Drosophila melanogaster: one gene and its partners. The protein of the gene in region 4 purifies or fractionates together with the protein of the main gene of each other region. This does not show direct contact. Each region holds a gene or a part of one and is shown on either strand. Other genes may lie near its edges. The genes, in order: Cul2, TER94, Cul4 and Roc1a.

The links.
Region 1: the proteins of Roc1a (region 4) and Cul2 purify together in Drosophila melanogaster (affinity purification with western blotting; 2 studies listed by BioGRID, with this or other methods). This does not show direct contact.
Region 2: the proteins of Roc1a (region 4) and TER94 purify together in Drosophila melanogaster (affinity purification with western blotting, with the first as the bait; one study listed by BioGRID). This does not show direct contact.
Region 3: the proteins of Roc1a (region 4) and Cul4 purify together in Drosophila melanogaster (affinity purification with western blotting, with the first as the bait; one study listed by BioGRID). This does not show direct contact.

What each region holds. Positions count from the first base shown.
Region 1 is NT_033779.5:21,656,876-21,664,204, forward strand, and holds Cul2 (cullin 2), read left to right. Parts: upstream 1-1,859; 5' UTR 1,860-2,086; intron 2,087-2,219; 5' UTR 2,220-2,278; coding exon 2,279-2,397; intron 2,398-2,964; coding exon 2,965-3,189; intron 3,190-3,247; coding exon 3,248-4,325; intron 4,326-4,472; coding exon 4,473-4,590; intron 4,591-4,654; coding exon 4,655-4,761; intron 4,762-5,208; coding exon 5,209-5,577; intron 5,578-5,642; coding exon 5,643-5,756; intron 5,757-5,813; coding exon 5,814-5,945; 3' UTR 5,946-6,823; downstream 6,824-7,329.
Region 2 is NT_033778.4:9,988,337-9,994,065, reverse strand, and holds TER94 (transitional endoplasmic reticulum 94), read right to left. Parts: upstream 3,864-5,729; 5' UTR 3,769-3,863; coding exon 3,677-3,768; intron 3,596-3,676; coding exon 3,493-3,595; intron 3,407-3,492; coding exon 1,370-3,406; intron 1,304-1,369; coding exon 1,149-1,303; intron 1,083-1,148; coding exon 989-1,082; 3' UTR 507-988; downstream 1-506.
Region 3 is NT_033778.4:8,101,749-8,108,317, forward strand, and holds Cul4 (cullin 4), read right to left. Parts: upstream 4,571-6,569; 5' UTR 4,269-4,570; intron 4,192-4,268; 5' UTR 4,102-4,191; coding exon 3,777-4,101; intron 3,710-3,776; coding exon 3,465-3,709; intron 3,404-3,464; coding exon 2,943-3,403; intron 2,892-2,942; coding exon 2,705-2,891; intron 2,607-2,704; coding exon 2,414-2,606; intron 2,356-2,413; coding exon 2,219-2,355; intron 2,165-2,218; coding exon 1,775-2,164; intron 1,714-1,774; coding exon 1,435-1,713; intron 1,375-1,434; coding exon 1,222-1,374; intron 1,159-1,221; coding exon 1,063-1,158; 3' UTR 860-1,062; exon of another isoform or gene 797-859; 3' UTR 512-796; downstream 1-511. Other genes in the region: Tmem63 (transmembrane protein 63), read left to right, coding at 1-156; udd (under-developed), read left to right, coding at 4,708-5,187.
Region 4 is NC_004354.4:645,477-649,101, reverse strand, and holds Roc1a (regulator of cullins 1a), read right to left. Parts: upstream 1,799-3,625; 5' UTR 1,655-1,798; coding exon 1,465-1,654; intron 1,400-1,464; coding exon 1,179-1,399; 3' UTR 505-1,178; downstream 1-504. Other genes in the region: CG13367 (uncharacterized protein), read right to left, coding at 2,904-3,112, 3,189-3,625. UniProt on the Drosophila melanogaster protein: Core component of multiple SCF (SKP1-CUL1-F-box protein) E3 ubiquitin-protein ligase complexes which mediate the ubiquitination of proteins involved in cell cycle progression, signal transduction and transcription.

The DNA of each region.
Region 1 (7,329 bases), on a different chromosome or scaffold from region 4:
ACCGCATTTTTCTGTACGCTTCCGTTATTCCTGCAGAAATCTACTTGCACCCGCTCCTACCCGCGACCAGAAACTCTAACGGTTCTCTGCCGCGCATCAAAAGAATAGAAAAGGCAATTACTAGAAATGTCGTTACATTTAAATGATCTGCGACATATACAAGTTGTCCACGTACATGTTGATATACAAATTCAAAACTCCAATCTCAGCAGCAGATAAATAACCAAACTTAAAGTAAACACCAGTCAGAAAATTTCAATTTCACAATGCTGTGAAATAATTTCAGTATAAAGCTTTTATCCTAAACATATTTGAAGTTCCAGAAAATTCTAAAAAATTTCTAGGTTGAGTGGATTAGGATTTAGATTTAGAAAATCAGTCTAAGTCCGGACGAGATTGTGAACATTTTCAAATTAAGGATAAGATAAGATAAATAAATTTTAAATTTTAATTTACATGTATCTACATATGTTGGCTGTTGTCTATCCCAGTTTCGAAAACAATGCATGTAAAAAGCGTGTAGTCACAGAAAAATTATATCTCCACGAAAACTGTGGATTAAATTGTAATCAAACTTTTTACACAAATAATGAAATTACAACATTTTTAAGATACCGTGCAATTTGAAGTTTATTTAATTTTTTGGAATTCACCTCCAAATAACGATTAAGAAATAAATACAAAACGTCTGCCGTGCTGATGGCTCAGGCTTTCCTCAGGCTGGAGTACCCCCCATGCCACAGCTCTAAACACTAAAGTCGATAACCACCGACGTCTCACAACACTGAAAATGTAAGCAATGTTAAAGCGAACACAAAGACAAAAAATTTAAATGTTTTGAAATGCTTAGAACATCACACCTTTTGGTAAATCGGAGTCCGAATTCTTTAAATAATTCTCGGTATATATATTAATTATTTTTTACATCATTTACATCTCAATCCATTTCTCCATCAGTATATGGTATCACACTTGGATCGACGACTGCTACATTGGATAGGTCAAAGTGAAATGTGTGGATGGCCTTTGGAAGCTACAAAGGCTGGAAATAGTGGTAGGCGATGTGCCAATTTTTGGCGCATATGGAAGGTTGCAAGTATTGATCACCGGCGGCTACGGTGGATGTGGCTCCAATTTATTCTTTGGAGTAAATTTCCGGTTTGGTGGATAAAAAAGTTCCAATCGACTGACAACCAACAGACAACTAAAAAAATTTGGCGCTCAACGATCTTAGCCATTGACAAATATGAGACTTTCTGATTTTTTGAGCTATACATTTTGTAAATTTTTGTTTCTTTAAGCTTAATGGTTTTTTCGTTTGTTTATCTTAGCCTTTATATATTTTCTTAGTAATTAAACATGTATTTATTTTGTATCTATCTCTTTGTATTTGTATTTTTTTGTATGTATCTCTGTTTGCCTTTTCGAAAGCCACATCTAGGCACTTAACAGTTTAGACCTTTAAAACTCGGTCTGTACAAAATGGATCATTCTTCTAGATCATACACTTACCTTTAAGGCATAACCCTTAACTCACTTTTGAAATCTTTTGAAAATGTATATTCTTTTGAACAAAAAGGTTGGCACTCGAGAGCAATAGCAATACGTATAAGCAATCGAAAAAAACGAAAATCATAAAAAATCCTAACATTATTACAGTTCACATATGAAATCAATTTAGGTTTGTGCACTTACAGTTTTTTAAGAAAATGGCTTTGGCCAGTTTTTAGGCAGGAAGGTAAAAAATTTGTTCAGTGGATCGGCGTTGACAATAAATTAAGATCAAAACAAAAGCAAACGTTTCGGTAGTGGAGACACGACATTCTTTTTACATCGAATTTTTTGTCGAGTTCAAATATCGATAGATTATATCGATATCGTCTTCGTCTGACAAACCATTTCACGATACCAAAAAAAAAGTGCAAAAATAACTAAATTCTCGGCGTAATTATTTAGTAAATAGCGTAGCTAAGCAGCAGGTGAGTAGGTCGCAAGCGCGCCCCTCCACGATCCATCAAGCGGTAATTGGCCTGCTGTGCAATTGCTCGAGGACAAGGCCATTTGCCTGGTGGCCCCCACGCAAAAAGTAAGCGATTATGCCAAAAAGCAAAGCAGAAGTGGTCTCTGCCAACGCATGAGGGTCGCTCGGTCGCCCATTGTTATATTTGCGAAGGCAGAATCAGTCGGCGTTCTAATTAGCGTGCACCCTGTCCCATCAGAAAACCCTTCCAAATCCATATCCAGACGGACCACGGATTAGGACTAAGACCCATTTGACATGTCGCTCAAGCCCAAAATAGTGGAGTTTGTCGATGTTTGGCCGCGCCTGCGCTGCATCGCCGAGTCGGTGATAACGCTCACCAAAGTGGAGCGCTCGGTGTGGAATACTAGCTTCAGGTACGTCTTGGCAACGGTCGGAGTATTAAACAGCCTGGAGAGAGATATTGTGATAGGTCACTAGAGACTACAAAGTTACCCAACTCAGAAGAAACACAAATAACACTAACTAACTTTTAAATTAATCCAACATAAGTAATGGTTTCAATCACATTATTTTGCATTTGAGTTGGTAAACTATGAATGTACTAGTACCTAGCGGTTCAACTATATATTTTATTCAACAGCAAAATTCACAAATATAGCTGCTAGCGAGGCGAAAATGATTTGGTAAATGTCGTAGAATCTTGATAAATGCAATCATAGTTTTAATAATAAATGCCTGTTTTCTAGCTTGAATTTAAATATTTTGACCGCTTAAAGGTTAAACTAAGTTCAAGTAAATATTAAATAGATCGATGACGTATCTTTTTAAAATTAATAATCAAAACAGTGTAACGCAGGCTGCTTTTATTCTGACCGCAACTGTTCGTATATATGTGTGAAGCGTGAGTTGCCAAAATAAAATTTCTAAAATAACGAGCACTAATACATCTGTCTTTCCAATCACATTCCTTTAACATATAGCGACGTTTACACACTGTGCGTGGCGCAGCCGGAACCGATGGCTGATCGTCTTTATGGCGAAACAAAACACTTTCTTGAGCAGCACGTCCAGGAGATGCTGGCCAAAAAGGTGCTGATCGAGGGAGAATGCTCCCATTCCAATGGTGGCCCAGACCTTCTCCAGCGTTACTACATCACCTGGATGGAATATAGCCAGGGTATCAAGTATCTGCACCAATTGTACATGTAAGAATGCATCGAAGTCTGTAATAACTCAATGATCGTTGGAATTAATTTCCTTTAGCTACCTGAATCAACAACACATCAAGAAACAAAAGATTACCGATACGGAATCGTTCTACGGTAATCTGTCAAGCGATGCTGCGGAGCAGATGGAGATTGGCGAGCTAGGTCTAGACATTTGGCGCCTGTATATGATTGAGTACTTGTCCAGCGAACTGGTCCGTCACATACTCGAGGGCATTGCCGCAGACAGAGCTAGCAATGGCACCTTGGATCACCATCGCGTGCAAATTATCAACGGAGTGATACACAGCTTCGTGGAGGTACAGGACTATAAGAAAACAGGCTCGCTTAAGCTCTACCAGGAACTCTTTGAAGGCCCCATGCTGGAGGCCAGTGGCGCCTACTACACAGACGAGGCTAACAAGTTGCTCCATCGGTGCTCAGTGTCGGAGTACATGCAGGAGGTTATCCGGATACTGGAATATGAAAGCCGGAGAGCCCAAAAGTTTTTACACGTCAGTTCCCTGCCAAAACTACGTAAAGAGTGCGAGGAGAAGTTTATTAACGATCGTTTGGGCTTCATCTACTCGGAGTGCCGCGAAATGGTTTCAGAGGAGCGGCGCCAAGACTTACGCAACATGTACGTCGTACTAAAGCCCATACCCGATAATCTCAAGTCTGAGCTCATAACCACCTTCCTCGATCACATCAAAAGTGAAGGTCTGCAGACCGTATCTGCGCTGAAGGGCGAAAACATCCATATTGCGTTCGTAGAGAATATGTTGAAGGTACATCACAAGTACCAAGAGCTGATCGCAGACGTCTTCGAAAACGATTCTCTATTCCTGAGCGCATTAGACAAGGCGTGCGCCAGCGTTATCAATCGCCGGCCAACCGAGCGGCAGCCTTGCCGTAGTGCCGAGTATGTGGCGAAATACTGTGATACGCTACTGAAAAAGTCTAAGACCTGCGAGGCAGAGATCGATCAAAAGCTTACTAACAACATAACCATATTTAAATATATCGAGGATAAGGATGTGTATCAAAAGTTTTATAGCCGACTGTTAGCCAAGCGCCTAATCCACGAGCAAAGTCAGAGCATGGATGCGGAGGAGGGAATGATCAATCGTTTGAAGGTGCGTGGTCTGCTAGTCTAAAATGTACTTCACAGTGAATAACTGCAATAATGTGAATTATTTATTTTTAATGCTGTTTTAATTTGTTATGACCCTTTTACAAAACTACATTAGCTTAAATAGATCTTCTTTTATTAATACTTACAGCAAGCCTGCGGTTATGAATTTACCAATAAACTTCATCGCATGTTTACGGATATATCGGTATCAGTAGATCTGAACAACAAGTTTAATACTCACCTTAAGGATAGCAATGTGGACTTAGGTGAGACGGAAAATGTATATTCATTAAAGATAGTTTATTTTTATGTATGTGTATTTCTATGCAGGCATCAACCTTGCCATTAAGGTACTGCAGGCGGGCGCGTGGCCCTTGGGATCTACTCAAGTTATACCATTTGCAGTACCACAGGAATTTGAAAAATCTATTAAAATGGTACGTTTTTCGTAAATGTATATATTTTATTTTAAAACGAGATAGAAGCTGCCTTTGACAAACCAAAGTTATAAAAAATTTTTTTCAGACTTTCTTTATTTAGTCAAATTTTTAAAGAGAGGCCTTTTAACAATATTCAGAAACATATATAAATATTTAAAGCAGCAATAAATACAAATAATATATAATAATAAATACAGAAAAACCTTTATGTAAAAAACTTTCCTTCAAATCGACGACTACATCGTAAGGTGTTCTCTTGAAATGTGTGACATATAGAAAGTTAAAAGTATCTTTATTTCAATAAAGGTACTTTAGCATACCAAATCAAAACGCAACTTCTTTTGGTCCAAATACATCTTAAACCGTGTGACTTTGTCGAAGGTACTTCAGAAATTTTAAATGTATACGTTAATCGTGTACTGTACCTTTGTTATGATTTTTCAGTTCGAGGATTACTATCATAAATTATTTAGTGGCCGGAAGTTGACTTGGCTACATCACATGTGTCATGGAGAATTAAAGTTGAGCCATTTGAAAAAATCTTATATCGTGACTATGCAAACATACCAGATGGCGATAATACTGCTGTTCGAGACTTGTGATAGTCTGAGTTGTCGGGAGATCCAGAACACCTTACAGCTAAACGACGAAACGTTTCAAAAGCACATGCAGCCTATTATCGAGTCAAAGCTTTTAAATGCCAGCTCAGAGAATCTCGCCGGTGAGACTCGAATAGAATTAAATTTGGATTACACAAATAAGCGTACAAAGTTTAAAATAAGTTCGGCTTTGCAAAAAGAAACGCCACAGGAGGTAAGGCATTTCGATTTCAACCTGGTTACCTGGTACCTGGTTTTCTAACGACGTTATTTATGTAGGTTGAGCACACAATTAACTCGGTAGATGAGGACCGAAAACTCTTTCTACAAGCCGCCATTGTAAGGATTATGAAAGCGCGTAAAGTCTTAAAGCACAATGCCTTAATACAAGAGGTAATATCTAAAACACCTGACTGTGAATTAAAATTACATGATGTATTTTTTCTTTAGGTTCTCTCTTTATCGAAGGTTAGCTTTACTCCCAACATAGCAATGATCAAGAAATGCGTGGAGTCATTAATTGACAAACAATATATTGAGCGAACGGCGAACTCGGGCGATGAATATAGCTACATGGCATAGACTGCGGTAGAGATTTTTTATTCTTAAACAAGAACCTTCCCGGACAACAACCTCCCATACACACAACTGACGCTAACCAAGCGGCTTATTTTGTCTAAAAAGAACTACCTACAATGTTAAAAAAAGAAATCAAAAGGTCAAGCAATTTGAGTTTTGTTATTTTTGTGGTCATAGCATATTGGTATGAAAGGTGTGTGGAAATCAAACGACGTTACTGATACTTTTAATTTAGCTTAGTTAGTTGATCCATTTTGATTTAATGCGTGTGTCCTATTCAATTGTAGATATAATATATTTCTTTATGTATTGTATATTTATCTGGTTTTATTAACACACGCACAAACCAGAATAATGTGCTGGAAAATGTATAATAAATCCCAAAAAATGTCTAAAAATATGTCATTCAAAGTATTTCGTATCCTGTGCGTTAACGCTGTACCACTGTACACTTCAAATTTACATAAATGAATGCTGTGCAAAAAGCAGTCAGCATTGCAGTTTAAGTATGCGGATAGAGATCTGTACTTTTTATTTGGTCGTCTCGGAAAAAACTGGATCTATTGTCCGGAATCCCATTCTTATAATTTTTTGATTTTCTAGTACTTTTTAATAACGAATCCGGGTAGAAATAGGCGTACCACCACCTACAAATTGGCATATCGTATATTGAGCTTTGAGTTGTCAAAGTGCCAAAGAAAGTGTAAAAGCAAACATTTTTCGAAACTTTCAAGATTGCTAAGATTCTTAGATTTTGTTTTAAAAGAGCTTTTAAGGACTTTCCCATCTTTTTGTTTTTGCTCACACATTTTATTGGACCTTGGTTTAAAATATAAAATTCCCTTAAATTCTTTTACTAATCTTAGAATGTCGATTTTATTAATTTACAATACCTTGTACGTATGTTCAGTAACCATTTAAGTTTCGCCTTTGCCAAGAAATCCAATATTTGTATATATTAAATACCCAAGGGCCGTGGATTATATTTGTTTTTAGTCATTTTTATTTCTTTTGTGCTACTTTTCTAAAAAATATATATCATAATGGTAAATTAATTAATTTTACAAATATGTATATGTAACTTAATAGTTAATTATAAAAATTATTAACTTCCTATATCAAATAACACTAGTTCATTGAACGGAATAAATAAAAAATACTTTTAAGTCGCTGATAACATTAATTTGTTTTGATAAATTCGGTAGAACATGATTGTAATTTGTTTCGCGATAAAAAAAGCGGTCCCATAAAAATCTTTTTAACGCTTCTGAATCCATGGCCATACCCTGAAAACAACTGCCTTCAACGACTTAAAAGCATTTTGGATGTAATAGCTGTAACTGTAATACAATTCGTTAATAATAATTTTATCTTGTTTTTGAGTGCC
Region 2 (5,729 bases), on a different chromosome or scaffold from region 4:
GCAAAGAAAGTTTATTTATAAGACCGAAGCGATAATGATTATTTAAATATGAAAGAATTCAACTAACTTCATATTAAGATGTCCTTGTTATGTCGCAAAGAATTAATAAAAATAAAAGTGAAAAAACAATTGAAAACCAGAAAAAGCAAACATGACGAATTAATACAAGTTTAATAAATGCGATAAAACAAATGAAATGATATTTTCAAATGGGAACAGTATGGATTTGGTTAGTACTCTTGATGACTAAATTGGACTTGCAGAAATCGAGGCACGAAGACATATTTTTTCACTGCACTCATACGAGTACCGACCAATTTAATTTATTACGCATTTTATTGCACTGTGGCCAATGATCAGTTAAAATAAAGCAACGTTCCACTTTGCTAGTGAACCTTATCAAAAATAAATAATTGATTATGTAACTCTTGCTCTTTAATCTCAACACCCAATTACCTCGTTGCGTCTATTTTTCAATATTTCTTCAATTTAAAGCACATGATTTTGTTGAATTTATAATTTTTATTCACTTAAAAATGTAGCTCCAAATACACTTATAATTTTACGGTGTTTAATATATGTATTTATCTTTAAATGTATGTGTGTATGTGTATCGTTAATAATTATGTTTATAGAAACTCATATATCGGAGCCACTCTACCGACAATGCACGAATGATTAGTGTGAGGCGCGGAATAGTTCGCCAATTAAAATGGTTTCGGATTAGGCGAGCCCAAATCCAAATGGGAACCTTCTCCTACTGCACGTATCCGCGACCAAGAGTAAGGATGGTATCAAAGAAGTGAATATTGAATCGGGTATGTCATCTGATTTCGCCATCGGCTGGATGTCTTAGCCAATGGTTGCTGTAGTAAGTTACCGCGTCCAGGATGCGAATGTGATTGGTTTTGCTTGCTCGGTTTTACGGAAAAAATTCATTTAAAAAGTTCCATTTTGTGGTTTTGTTTTGCGGTGTAAAACTAGAAATCTAACTGTAAAGATCATCGTCGCCGTTGTCGCCGGGCGAGTTAACTGGCAAGTTGTTACCAGATCCTGAGGTGTTGCCGGTTTGACCGGGGAATCTGCAATAACATATACACTATCATCAGTAACCTGGATTCCAACAAGAAATGCCTTTCAATTCTCACCTGAAGTTCTGTCCGAATCCACGGGACTGCTGCAAAGTCTGGGCAAACATCTCGTACTTCCTGATGTCATTATCGGACACCGAACGGCGAGCGAACTTCATGGCCTCCTCGAAGTGGGCGCTAGTAATCTCCGGCACTGGATCGTCCTCGTCCATCTGATTATATGGGTAAATAGTCAAACATAAACATTCTTATTTTTTGCGCTAAGCTAAATGACTTACGTCCATCGCGGAGTTCTGATTTTCGGCGCGCTCCTTCTCGCGACGAATTTCAGCCTCGATGGCCTGTCGGATGGCCAGCTTGCAAGCCCGCTGGCAGATCTCGGTCAGATCGGCGCCAGAGAAGCCCTGCGTCACCTTGGCGATGTAGGTAAGGTCTACTTCCTTGGCCAGCGGCGACTTGCGCAAGTTAGCCTTCAGGATAGCCTCACGCGATTTGTCGTCGGGCAGCGGAATATAGATCAACTGATCCAGACGGCCCGGACGGAGGATGGCCGGATCGATAATGTCCGGGCGATTGGTGGCTCCGATGATGAACACATTCTTCTTGGCTCCCATGCCATCCATTTCGGTAAGGATCTGATTGATCACACGATCAGCGGCGCCGCCAGCATCGCCGACATTACCGCCACGGGCTTTGGCGATCGAGTCCAGCTCGTCGAAGAAGAGCACACAAGGAGCCGCCGAGCGGGCCTTATCGAAGATGTCGCGCACGTTGGCCTCAGACTCGCCGAACCACATGGTCAGCAGTTCGGGACCCTTGACTGAGATGAAGTTCGCCTGGCACTCGTTGGCAATGGCCTTGGCCAGCAGCGTCTTACCGCAACCAGGGGGTCCGTAGAAAAGGACACCGCGACTGGGCTGCATGCCAAACTTCAAGAACTTGTCCGGATGCTCCACTGGGTATTGCACCAGCTCCTGCAATTCCTTCTTGACGCTCTCCAGACCTCCGATGTCTGTCCAGGTGGTGTTGGGCACCTCAACAACAGTTTCACGCAGCGCCGATGGACTGGACTTGGTCATAGCGTAGCGGAAGTTCTCCATTGTCACGGCCAGCGACGCCAGCACCTCGGCATCGATCTTATCGTCTTCCAAATCGATGAGGTCCATCTTCTCACGGATTTGCTGAAGGGCAGCCTCAGAGCAGAGTGAAGCCAGATCAGCGCCCACATGTCCGTGGGATTCGGCAGCAATCTGCTCCAGGTCAACATCATCATGCAGCTTCATGTTCTTGGTGTGAATGCGCAGCACCTCCAGCCGTCCAGTGGCATCTGGAATGCCGATGTCAATCTCACGATCAAAACGTCCAAAGCGACGCAGGGCCGGGTCAATGGAGTTGGGCCTGTTGGTAGCAGCCATAACGATCAGATGGGAGCTCTTCTTCATGCCATCCATCAGGGTCAAAAGCTGCGACACAATGCGACGCTCCACCTCACCGTGGGTCTTGTCACGCTTGGGGGCAATAGCGTCGATCTCATCGATGAAGATGATAGCCGGCGAGTTTTTCTCGGCTTCCTCGAAGGCCTTGCGCAGATTCGATTCCGACTCTCCGGCCAGTTTGGACATGATCTCCGGTCCGTTAATCAGGAAGAAAAAGGCTCCGGTCTCGTTGGCCACAGCCCTGGCAATCAGGGTCTTACCGGTACCCGGGGGACCGTACATAAGAATACCACGCGGTGGCTTCACACCAATGGCCTTGAAGAGCGATGGATGCCGCAAAGGCAACTCAACCATCTCCTTGATCTGGGCCAGCTGCTTGCGGCAACCACCGATATCATCGTAGCCAACGGCGTTTAGGGACTCCTCCTCCTCCTCGCGCTTAATTGGATCACCGTCGCAGAAGATTACCGTCTCGGGAGCTACGATGCAGTAGGGCTCCGGGTCGGTCAGCACCACCTTGAACTCAATAGGACGCATGGCGGCGCGCACAATAAAGTTGTCGCCCATGTGGATTGGCCGATAGGCCTCTAGGAAGTACGGCTTCAGATAGATCTCGAACAGGTTGCCGGTAACGCCTTCGGTGCTTTCGTCGATGGGCAGGATGCGCACCCGTTTGCCGTACTTGACGTCCGGGCAGGACTGCACGGAAACCACATCTGAAAGATGGACGCACAGGTTGTTGCGCACCACGCGGTTCATGCGGATCTTCTCGTCGGGACAGGTGTCGTCCGAGAGCACGATGCACACCGTCTCCTTTCGGCGCTTGCCCTTCAGAATCACGGTGTCGCCACGGAAGAGCTGCAGCTCATCCATCTTCGCCTGATATAGTTTAAGGGGGAAAAAGAACAGCCAAGTCATGTGAATTAGCCATGCGATGACGTGGCCTTTGGGAGAGTGAATCTTACCTGCGATAGCGACACCACAGAGTTGTCGTCATTCTGCGCCTCTTCCACAATCAGTCGGTTGGGACGGTCCTTGCGCTTCAGGATCGCCGTAGCCAGATCTTCACTGTAGGGTAGAAGAAAAAAGCATCGCGTAAGACTCGTCGCTAAAGAAATATCTTATGTCTTATATATAATTTGGCCTAACCGCTTATCGAACGAGTCTTTCGGCTTCATTTTCTCATCCTGCTCGCTGTGATATCCCCGCATAAAGTCCCTCGTATCCCCATCATGATCCATCTTATCGTTCTTGCCGCCAGACATTGTTTTTTTTGTTTTTTTTTTTGTTTTTTTGGATTGCCTTTTTTGTTAGTTTTGATAAATTTATGGAAACTACTTTCACTAGTAATACGGAATGGAACTAAGCATCTGGATAATTAGGCCTGCCGAATCATTTTTCGTTGCTAACGTGATGATGTCGATCAATCTTTATTGATAGATTTTTGAACATAAAAGGTTATCACCCTATATCGTTCATAAAAATCTATATTAATCGGAATAATAGTACAATTGTTTATTGTCTTTAGTTATAAAAGTATGTTTGTATTTCTTGTATTCGATGCCAACTTTTTTGGCGCCATTTGTTATAATAATTTCTAAACTTTGAGGTAAATTATGCATTTATTGTTACTTAAACGATATGTTTTTTTTTACTTCTGGCGAGTTGAGGGAGCACAAAGACTTTTCTAGAATTAATGCAATATCAAAAAAGGTATTACTAATAGGTAGCATTGAAATAAGTGGTTTCGGCATATAGTTTAGGATTTTCGCGATTTATTATAGAAATAGCTGCCATATATGTATGCAGTATTGTTTTTCGTATCCAAAGTTATAACTACAACAACCGGAAAATTGTATCCTCCAGCAAAGGATGACTTGTATTTTTGGGACAACAAAGGGAAATCGTAAGTTTTCAAGCGGCAACAACAACTGCAAGGGCAGTAACACCAACAACAACAACAACGTACTGCAAATGGCGATTCTCGCTGGCGTTTTTTTTTCTTCGGTTTTTAGGTTTGCCCTAGTTTCGCAACATTTTGCAACCGAGCAGTGGAAAAGTCGCGGTAAATGTCTTTGTCTCGCGGAAATCGGCGAAAGCCTTTCACAATTAAATAATAGTATGTCTGCGATGTGGCCCTTGCGTATTTTTTTCGGCTCAATGACTGAGCGAAATTTGTGAATTTCGACTTGGACCGACACAGTCGGCGCCTATTTCGGCGTCCAGTTCACTTACCCCTTGGAATCTGCCATGATAAACTAGTTGACGTTGAACTTTTTAACTTAATTGTACAATTCGGCGCGACTTGGACTATTCGTTGAGCTGGAAATCGGCACTTTTAGTCAAATTCAAAGATGAGGCAGCAGAAACAGATTGGTGATGTGCGTTACCGGACATTCATCGATTGGGCTTAGAAAATATCGATTACACGCTGCGATGGTTTGTAAAAGAAATTGAAGTGGCAACGCTAAAGGAAAGAGTGGCAATGTGTGCAGGTGCCTAACTTGGCTATGCTCGCTGGCAGATGATCGCTGCTATGAAGCCATGCGTGATAACGTAGCTGCTTACGTTTTTATTGAAAAAGTGCAGCATACTTTTCGGCTATGTCTATATCTAAAATATATGTAGGAAGTATGTAGAACTCAATCCGTCTATTTCACTTAGTTGTAGAAGTTTTGGTAGTAAGAAAAAATCTTCATTCATTCATTTCCCTAGAACACTCGGCCATCAACCTGTCCCTACAATAACTGCTCAATCGCAGCTTATGCTCGTAAAAACTTTTTAGTATTCATGGTTTTGGCATTAACGATGCCAATTATGGCAGCGTTTTATTTAGCTTTACTTTCAGTTTTATTTTTTAGTACTTAAGAGAGTGACAGCGACGTCGGCAGAGAGGAGAGCAGCGTCATTGGGCGTGGTCGCTGCCCCCAAAAGAATGGGAGCAAACTCCATAGAAACGCAGAACGAATTCAACCAATCGCCTGCAAGTCTCTTGTCTTCGAAGAGCGCCTGCGCAGAGAGCAAAAGAAAGTGGCGAGCGGAAACCAGTTTTTGTGACGATGAGGGTGACGATGAAGAGGAGTGGGGAGTCGGGGTGGCTGATAAAGATGGCCGTCGCCTTCCGCGGCGCAGGAAGCAGCGAAGAGCGGGGGGCAGGGCAGCGGAACCGCCTCAGACCCAAAGTCACAATTATGGGGCACTC
Region 3 (6,569 bases), on a different chromosome or scaffold from region 4:
GGTCCGGCACCCATCTACGTGCCCGATGTGCTGAAAGATAATGGGATAAGGACCAGCAGTGTGCGACCTTCGGCGGCAGCATTTGGGGGCTACGGCTCCGACAGCGTGTCCGAGTACGACAGCTCACAATACAGCGTCAACAGTGTTGAGGCGTAAATGGTATTATTGTCGGGAGACACTACAAATATTTTTGTAATATATCTACAAAAGCCACTAAGAACTTTTCAAGTTGGCAGCTTTGATTTGCATACGAAAGAATGACAGGAGGATAACAGCAAGGCAATTTGTGATACCTAAACCAGCCTCAATGTCATTTTTAATATGACCCCTGCACGCGAAAGCGATAGCAATATTTATTTCTGATCTGTATATAATCTACCTAATTTCCCAATTTTATCTGTAACTGTATATATACTATATTCCTTTGCTAACTGCTTAACAAAGGGCTCGACGCTGATTTTTTGAAGCAGTAATGCTGGTAATATTTTACAAATGAAACACGAAGTGCATTATATTTTCAAGTAATTTTTTATTTATGGTAAATAAAAAACTATTAAGTTATGCGTATCTCTTTTTTGCATACAGAGCTACTAGTACGAGTTATAATTATTTTAATGTTTCCTTTAGAAAATTAGCCTGCAAATGTCACTTCTATTGTTAATTGAAGGAGAATTATCAATTAAAAGTAAACAAATTAGAATAAGTCCAATAAATAAGTTTATTGAACACCTAGTTTGCTTTCGGTTCGAAAACTTTTTTAAATTGCTGGAGGCATCGACGTTCCGAGGGCGATGACCTATTTCAAAGGACTCGGCTTGTAAAATAAACGCTTAATTTATTGTATGATAAGGTAACTTACAAAAAGAACTGTCGCTACACTATTAGCTGGCGGATTGTTCAACGATTTAGTTATAGAAACGAAATTACAGCTGAAAAACTCTGAACATCGCCGATCGGACGAGGGCACTCCAAAAACTTCATTAGACTGCTAGTATGTATGTGTATGGTATAGAGCGAATTACAATCGAATCGGTGTTCGGATTTCACAGAATCTGTGGCCATTTATGCCACATAGTTGTATTGGTTTTGATTATCCTTGTCTCGCTCCATGTAGTCGCGGTCGATGAGCGACTCGATTCGCTTCTTTAGGTCAGCGGGCTGGAATACCAACGAACATATTAGCTTCTTTCTACTTAGAACAAATAGGATTAGTATACGGACCTTGACAGGGAAGGTAAGCTGGTTGAACAGCTCGGTGATGAGAAGATTATGGCTCAGCGTTTTTCGCATTTTCATAATGCGCACAATAGCCGCATCAATTTGATACTGACGATCCTGAAACACACGCTCCTCCGTCGCCTTTTGCTCCTCATTCTAATGGAAAAGGGGAAAGATTAAGTGTGTGCAAATTACATCAAAACTAAAGCCACTTACTGTCTCCTTCATCTGTATTTGGTTGATCTTGATTCTAAACAATTTGTTTGTGAACTCATTGTTAAAATCAAACTGATCGCCATCCAAGATTTCGCGGCCTTTCGGTGTTTTTGTTATGACGCGGGCGCGCCCACAAGCCAGGGACTGAAGTGTTCGACGCAACTCTCCATCCTCGATGAGGGTGGCGGCCAATATCTCCTCGTAGCTCAGAACTGGCTTATCGTTAAACAATAGAAGCACAAGCGCTTGAAACAGCGAGACCAACAATTCTTTCGGTCCCTGTGAAACATACGTAAACATTGCAATCGCATAGAACATAGTAGGAGCCATTAGTAGTTACCGCATCGAATTGAGCACGCAGCATACAATTTCCTAATGTAGGCTGCCACTGCAACTTCCGCCCACTATGCTTTTCCAGATAAAATTTGTTGAAAATCTGCTGAGGATTGATGAACTGTGGCGGCATTGTGACCTCTGTAGGTGCATATGTAGGCCAGTAGCCCATGGTAAGAATGCTGACGCACAAGTCCAAGTTGTGGACATCGCGGTTGTTGCTTAACGCGTGTCCGCGGAACGCAATGTTGATATCTCGGCTCAGTTCCATGTCCTTAAACATGCCCTCCAGCTTGGACGTAAACCCTCCACCGCACTCCTGCTTAAGCTTGGAGAGCATACTCTTTTCGGAATCCACTGATGCCGATTTGCCCACAAGTAATCGTTTGGCCAAGTCCTAAGATGGTATTCGTTATTAAATAATGCTCGACATACAATAGATGGACACAACCTTTTTGTAAAACGCTTCAAATACATCTTTGCCATGTATAAAACGAAACAGAACCATGATTTTATCTAGAGTCTTTTCCAACTCCTCATCTGTGGTTCCCTTGTTGCCAGATCGCAGTTTCATATCTACGTATTTAGCTAATGGAAGAATAAACTTTAGCAAACTCGTTTAAATATAGTGACAGTGGGCGCTTACCAATAAGCTCGGCCGGCTTGTTGGCACGTTGGTTGATAAAGAACTCAAAGGCCTCGCGCAACGAGTTTGTGAATTTCTCATTGTGCTCAAAGCAGGTGCGAACTATCACATCCATTTTGTCCTTGAAATCGAGCAAATCTTGGACCATGCTCTTATCCTTCTCGGGATCGATGACAATGGTGCGTCCCTTTTTCTGAAAGTAAGTATATTAGCGCGATCTATTAATATGTTTTACTGCAGTTAAAACAAAGGTATCTTTAAATAAATTTATACTACTTAACATATCCATACCTTAATGAAACCGTTGAAATTGCCGCACAGCTCGGATGTTCCATTTTTGACTCGACTAAGCAGCCCGTACAACAGTGTAAGGTCACTCAGTCTGTTGTCTTCCAACAATGAATCCAAGCCCTTCTGCAATATTGACGTTAGGTGTTCGGCAAGTAACTCTTTTTCCACATTGTAAATCAGTGGATGTCTGTAAAAAACGCATTAATAATTGTTTTTATTATTGACTTCGCCAGCATACTTGGTGCTCGAGTCCAGATAGTGACGCAAACGCTCGTTCTCCTCGGCCAAACGCTTGTTGACGTGTTGTAAGTACTCGGGAACTTCCAGTTCTTGCATCTTGCGTTGACTCTCAGCCTTATACAATTGATTGGTTGCGTCGAGGAACTTCTCCTCAAAGGAGCTGGTGTAGATCTGCAGGTCGCATAACATGCGAACCAAGCTCTTCAGCAAACCACGGTCCACGGTGGAGCCTTGTCGTTCTTTTTCAATAAGCGTTAGTAAACCGTCGACGGTTCGCTTTTGGACAACGCTGTTTTGAGCAAAATGGATGCGAAAAAGGTCCAGCCCCATGTCCCAAATCGAGTGAACGGTCGAATTTTGCAGCACATAAGTTCGATCCATATACAAGAATATGCTGCGAATCATGATCATTTGTTGGCAGAACGAGAGCCACCAGTGGTTGATCTTTTCCAGCAAAATCTAAAAGACAATAAAAGTTGACGAGTAAACCTTTAAATGTGCTCCTTAAACAGCAACTTACCAGTTTGTCCATGCTACCGCCGGTGAGCTCCTTGAGCTTAATATTGCGCTTTACGTGTTGCTCTGTTAGCTCCTTGAGTTTCGCGTATAATTGTGCATCCATCTTGTGGCTACACATGTTCACCACCGCCTGGTAGAGCTCCTCCAGCGAATATTTAATGGGCTTGGAGAGTTGGATGGCGATAACGGCTTCTTCAAGCTTCACGTACGTGTCCTTGGAATAGTTATCGGGCAGTGTAGGCTTATCTAAGGAAGGAAGGAAGGAAGTTGAATCATGCAGTATACAAACAGTTGAGATCTAGACGGGACCTACCCTTAAAGTTCTTAATCACTATCTTCTTGACATCGCCAGGCTTGCTGTTGTGAATAGCCCCCATGCGATTGAGGAGATTTGAGGTAGTTGAAGCCGTGCGGATCTCGCCATGGCTGCCGCCTAGCTTGGAGAAGTTTGGCAGGCGCTCGCCGTTGGTGGACGCAGAATTCATGTTTTGGGCAGCGAAGGCACTGCGGCCCACGCTCGAGGCGGCAGCAGCGGTGGGGGCGACGTTCTCGGCCTTCTTCAGGCAGGCGGCAATATTCTCTGTGTTCTCGTGCAGCTCAGTTGTGTCCATGGGCTTGTACTTCTTGGCCGCACTCATAGCTTAGGGCCCCTGCTGCCAGCAGGATCTCCACTCCGCTCCTGCTCTCCTGATCCTGCCCTGCTTTCGTCGCACCGGCTTTGCTTAGTCCTGGGCGTGGAGATCGGTTATTGATTGCTGGCTTTTCCTTTAAGGGAAGGGATTGCAGTTTGTATTTCGATACGTACCCTTGAAATGATTACCAGCAAATATTCGTAATATTTTTGCGACTTTTGCACTGGGGTCGTCAAGAAATTGGCAACTTGCGAACTCAAGGCAAATAGACTTCCTGTGAATTTTCCGGCTGCGAAGTAGATTTCTCCGACAAACGGCGTCCTTTTGGACAAATGGGGTTCCTTCGACGCCTGAGAGACTATTCAAATCGACAAAACTTCGGAAGTACAATTACACAGGCAACATTTTATTATTTCGCTTTTGGTTGCATGCGGAAAATATTGCTTTTTGGGATATCGGACGAATCAAAACATCGATTGGCTGCGGGTAATCGATAGCTCAGCGGGCAGCACTGCCTATCGATATTGGTGTGAAACAGGTTAACATTGCCTATCACTGTTAGCACGACGCATTGTGTTCGCGACGCATTTATGTTCGCTTTCGCCATATAAAATGAAAACAAAAGATGAGAAGCCATCGCCTTTGAAAACTGCACCGCGTAAAATAAAGGGTGAGAATTTTCCAGCCAGAAGGATACCCGCAAATGTTTTGAAACGCACGCTTGAGATCGCCACCAGTCCCGAAGATGGCTTTTGGGTGAACCAAAACCCATCCTGTGCTCCTCCGGCCAGTAACGAGTTTTACTTCAGCGTTCGACGATCCACTGCGTACGAGAAACTACGACTGGCCCGGGATTGCCTTATGCAGCGGGACTACAAGAACTTGGCAAAAATACTGGCCTCCAATCATATGGGAGAAACGCTGCTCCAAAGGGCGTCCTTTCAAATATTCACGGAATACTCCAAGGTTCTTCAAAAGTGCCCAAAGTTCTACACGAAAATGGAGCAGTTGCGAGTGGAGCCGACTCCTCCGACGAGACCCACAGATGAAGACATAGCATTAGACGATTCATTAAATGCTATTCTATCCTAGTTACCTTTTTTAATAACGACGAAGTTAGGCAAGAAATATAATATAACTACCTCATAAAAAAACGCATATTAAATTGCCTATTAAAACTGCGTCCATCCCACTAATATATAGTGACGTATTTGGGTGGTCCAAACCAGCCACTTCCATTATTTCAAAGAAATCAGTAATGCACTCTAGTAATTTTCCATAACGTATCCCAGCTGCGCAGCATTCGTTTATCTTTGGCAGCGCAGCCGTTCTTGTAAACATCCTAAAGCCTGACCTAAGCAGATTTGACTGCCCTCTTTCAACGCTACCTAATCTTAAGAACCCAAGAGCGAGGCTCTCCCGAAATACAAATATTGTTCAAATACTGAGGCTTCTCCTCAATCCAATTTGCATTTGATTTTTAGTCTTAAGCTGAGATCCAAAGAATAAAGTCGTGAAACTATTTCTCCTAAAAACTATTTTTTATTTCTTGGCGTTGTCCTTAGTCAACTGACGGGACATTAGTTCGACTCATAAATAAAACAACAATTTTACTGGCGCAGTCGGTAGGATACAAAAGTATCCGAAAAAAAAAGAACCTTCGAGTGGAAAATAAGTTAAATTTTATAGTCCAGTGCTCGAAACATCTCCCAAAATAAATTCGTGAAAACTCTTCAACTTGGATTATAATTCCAATTCGGTTATCCAATAATAAGTGGAAGTGAAATACGAAACAAAAATATTAAGTCCAAAGGCAACTAAGTTTTAAAACCAACATATAAAAATAAAAAATTAAAACAATATAGAATTTTAATAATACAACACAAAAATTTACAAAACAAAAAAAAACAAACAAGTGAAACTAGAAAGCTTAAAAATAATAATAACATTGAATCCGAAACAAAACAAAAAAATAAAACACAAAAGTTAAAAATTTTACAATAAAAATGTCACAACCAATTATTGCGCTGAGCGACATAAACCTTGCCGAAGCCCGTCGGCAGCTTAAAGACATTATGCCATTCAAGGGTGATCCAGAAACCCTTCACACCTTTATCAGCAGAGTGGATTACGTAATTTCGCTCTACCAAACAAATGATGTCCGACAACAGAGGATTCTACTGGGAGCCATCGAAAGGAACTTGGACGGACAAATTACACGATCTTTGGGACTTCCGAACATCGAAGATTGGCCTACCCTTAAAGCAAGACTCATCGCGGAATTTAAAATTCAAACACCAAACTACAAACTTCTGGAGAACTTCAGGGAGACACCATACAGAGGAAGCCTAAGAGCATTCTGCGAAGAAGCGGAGAGACGACGTCAATTACTAATTTCGAAACTACACCTGGAAGGTAACCAATCGGATTTTCTTATTTATATTCAGGGTATTAAAGAATCTATTAAGATACTG
Region 4 (3,625 bases):
ATGCATGGTGTATATACAAGATATACGAGACAAACTTAATGTTAATTACTACAAAGCGAGCTGGTTGAAGAGACCGAAAGGAGGAGGAGCTTACACTTTCACATACATATAACAATAACAATGTATATAAACCAAAAAGCGGGAAATTTAATTATAAAGCAAGCGAAAACAATTGAACAGAAGATTCAAATAAAACGCTAAATACAACTCGATACAAGTGGTGGTTCAAGTGGTTCGACGGACCATGCAATCTGGTTTAATTCACATGAATCTGAATCCAAAACAACTCGCACTCCCTGCCCTTCGTTTTATTGCCAGCTTATTGTTTATTTTGTTCTCTGTGAAATTTGGTTTTTAAAAGGCGACAGATAGAAAACTACAACTAAACCATCACAACCACACACACACACGAAGCAAATTCGATGATTTTTTAACGACATAATTATTTTTTGTTTACCTATAAGTTTAGTTAGTAGCTTATGCAATTAAACATTAATCATATTTGATATATACCATATACTTTATTCATATCTGTAACTAATGTGTATTATTTTCTAAGCTGCCGCGGCCGCAAAACATTCATAATAAACTAAAAAGAACATTTAGTTTTTACAAACGCAGCTCTTTCTTTGCATCGACTGATTTTGATTTGTTTTTACGAAACTACTTTCATATATCTGAACAACCTGATCTGGAGCTGGTCATGACGCATATAGTTAAGCAAAACTAAACTAGTTTGAACTAGCCAGATCCTCTTCAAATGCCATCCAAGGATAACTAAGCAGAGCTACATTTATGGAACCCAATGACCCAATCATATTTTTTGCCAGTCATGAGTTATATACTCTGAAAATTTAGGCACGACTAGCTAGTGGATTTCGCGGTAAGATGCCATCGTCACAGTGAATATAGACTCCAAAGGGTGAAAGGTAGAAACATCCGTCTAGTCTTCTCCATCTTCTACAGCTTTTATTTAACGCGTTACAAAAAGGTGCGCTTCCCGGGGAGTCTCGGAAATCGGTAACTGTGCTCCTAAAGGCTACCAGTTCACTCGAATCGCCCCACTAGCTTAAGATCTAAAAAGGTATTCAAATGTCCAGATGAAGCAGGCCTCCATCATCTAGCTTGCGGGAAGTGCTGCTCCCTCCATCTGGTGGGTCTTGGGGGTTTTGTAGATTTTAGTGGCCGTACTTCTGGAAATCCCACTCGCGGTTGTCCAGTGGGCATACCTGGCGCGTCTTTAGCCAGCGAGAGATGCAGTGGAAATGGAAGGCGTGGTTGCAGACGCCCCAGGCCACGGTGCACTCCTCGCTAGTGGCGGACGCCTGGTTCGCCTGACACTCGATGCACAAGTCCATGATGTGGTTGCGGCAGATGGCGCAGTTGTCCACCACGATGTCTGCATCGAAATGGAATGCGGTTAATCCCCCGACTCGGAGCACTACAATTCGCATTACTACTTACCCCAGGCCCACAGAGCCACGGCGTTCCACTGTTTTCGGCGAAGCGGAAAGGATGAAGTGTTACCATCAGTACATTCATTGACAATGACCCTGCTTTTTTGCTGACCACTTACCTTCTTCACCTCAAAGCGCTTCTTATCGCCCTTGCTGCTGCTGGAGGGAACCTCGTATCCATCCTCGTCGACTTCCATGGTGGAAATACACCTATTTATCCTGACAAAACTCTCGCAACACAAATGCAATTTTCACAACTAACGTAGTTTTGGCTTTTCTGTCCCTATCCTTTTCGTTTTAATAGAAAACCACTCGCAGTGAGGCTCAAGCAGTGTGACCGCCGCTTTTTCTCGTAAAGGTGGCGAAACATCGATGCCAACATCGATGGCGTCGATGGTATCGATGGTATTTACTGCACATCGGAGAAGATATGTGTATATATTGTAAGTATAAATTGTAAGTTCCATATTTTTTAATAGAATTATTAATAACATATCGCAAATTTAGTGTGACTTGCTGGTGGTGTTGGCTGATGTCCTGAAAGACGTGGATAAATATCTGAAATTTAAGTTTTTAACTCCTGAATAAGGAGGGATGAAGACGTAGACGACAATAAGTTTATGTTTAGTTAAAATACTGCCTTTTTTATTTAGTCAATATTAAAAAAGAAAATAATATTTAAATTAAACAGATAATTTTTTTGTTTTTATTTAAAACATCGATGTTTAGAACAACATGTTTAAAGAATATGTTTAAGACTTTGATATTTTTCGCCAAATCGGAAACATCGATGTTTCTCCACCACTATTTTCTCGTCTAATTCAATAACGATTCCGATTCGTGTCGATAACCTTTTGGTATCTTAATCAAAATTTTTAATGTTTTGTTTATGGTATACCGATCAAATTGCAAAAAAGTAAAATCGAAGAAAAATCAAAACATTTTTCAAAAGTATATGCGTGGCAGTTTTGGGCGGTTTGTGGGCGTGGGAATTAGTTTTTTGCAATTCAAACAGGACTTATAACAAAATTTTAAAAATATCAAAACATTTTTCAAAAGTGCGCGCGTAGCGTTGGACGACACTAAACTGGGCCACATGGGTCAACAAACTTGCGCTGCGACTGTCTGTTTTATAGTTCCTGAGATTGAGGCGTTCATACGGTCAGACGGACATGGCCAGTTCGACTCGGCTATTGATCCTGATCAAGAACATATGTTTATACATGTATACTTTATAGGTCGGAAACGCTTCGTTATCCATAATTACAAAATTGTATTTTATTCATTAATTGCTGATTGAGTTCAGTTGGTACTACAGTACATCAAGTACTTTTTGAATTATTTTCTGTTCGGCAAGTAGCCCGTTTACGAAGAGTAAAAGTTGCAATAAATTAGATTTTTCAAATTCAGGGCTCCGGCCATCCTGCCCTTGAGCCACCTCTTCTGCTAGGAGGCACCGCCCGCTTTGTGGCCACTGCCCTTTTCCCGCTTGACTATCGGCAGCCGCGTCCAGATGTAGCCGCCCGATCTCTGGGCAGTGTACTCATCCACGTCCGGCAGGGGAAACGGGGTGCTCCGGTCGAAGTAGTAGTTGCTGGGAGCATGCATCACGAACTCTAGGTAGCAGAGCTTCCGGGACAGCTCCTCATCGGGTCCTGCAGGCACGGGAGTTAAGCAAAAATACAATTTAAAAAACTTTGGGTAGCAGGCAGGAGGACAGGACTGACATACCGATTAGGTAGGTAGGGGGATCGAAGCCCTCCTGGGGATCCGGACTGTCCTGCGTGGGAATCAGCCAGGTGAGGAAGGCGGACTTCTCGCAATAGGCGTCCACAAGCAGACCGCGTATCTGGGCGTAGTACAGATTCTGCTCGCTGTCCACAATGCTGACGATATCCCCGATTTGTATATAGCTGCCCTTGTGGAAAAGGCTTCTCACGAACCTGGTGCTCGCCTGCACCTTGGGAGTTTTCTGTGCTGGTTTCTTGAAGAGAGCGCGGCGATTACGGGCTCCAGTGGCCCCGCCTGTGCCCGCTGGACCGGACTTCCCATGCTTGTTGGTATTACTGGGATGGGCGCCAGCGCCCGCGAGGTGCACGGAGCTGCCGGTGGAACCATTCGCCCCGCTATTGTGGCCATTTGACTGGCTACTGCCGCTTCCGGGAGTG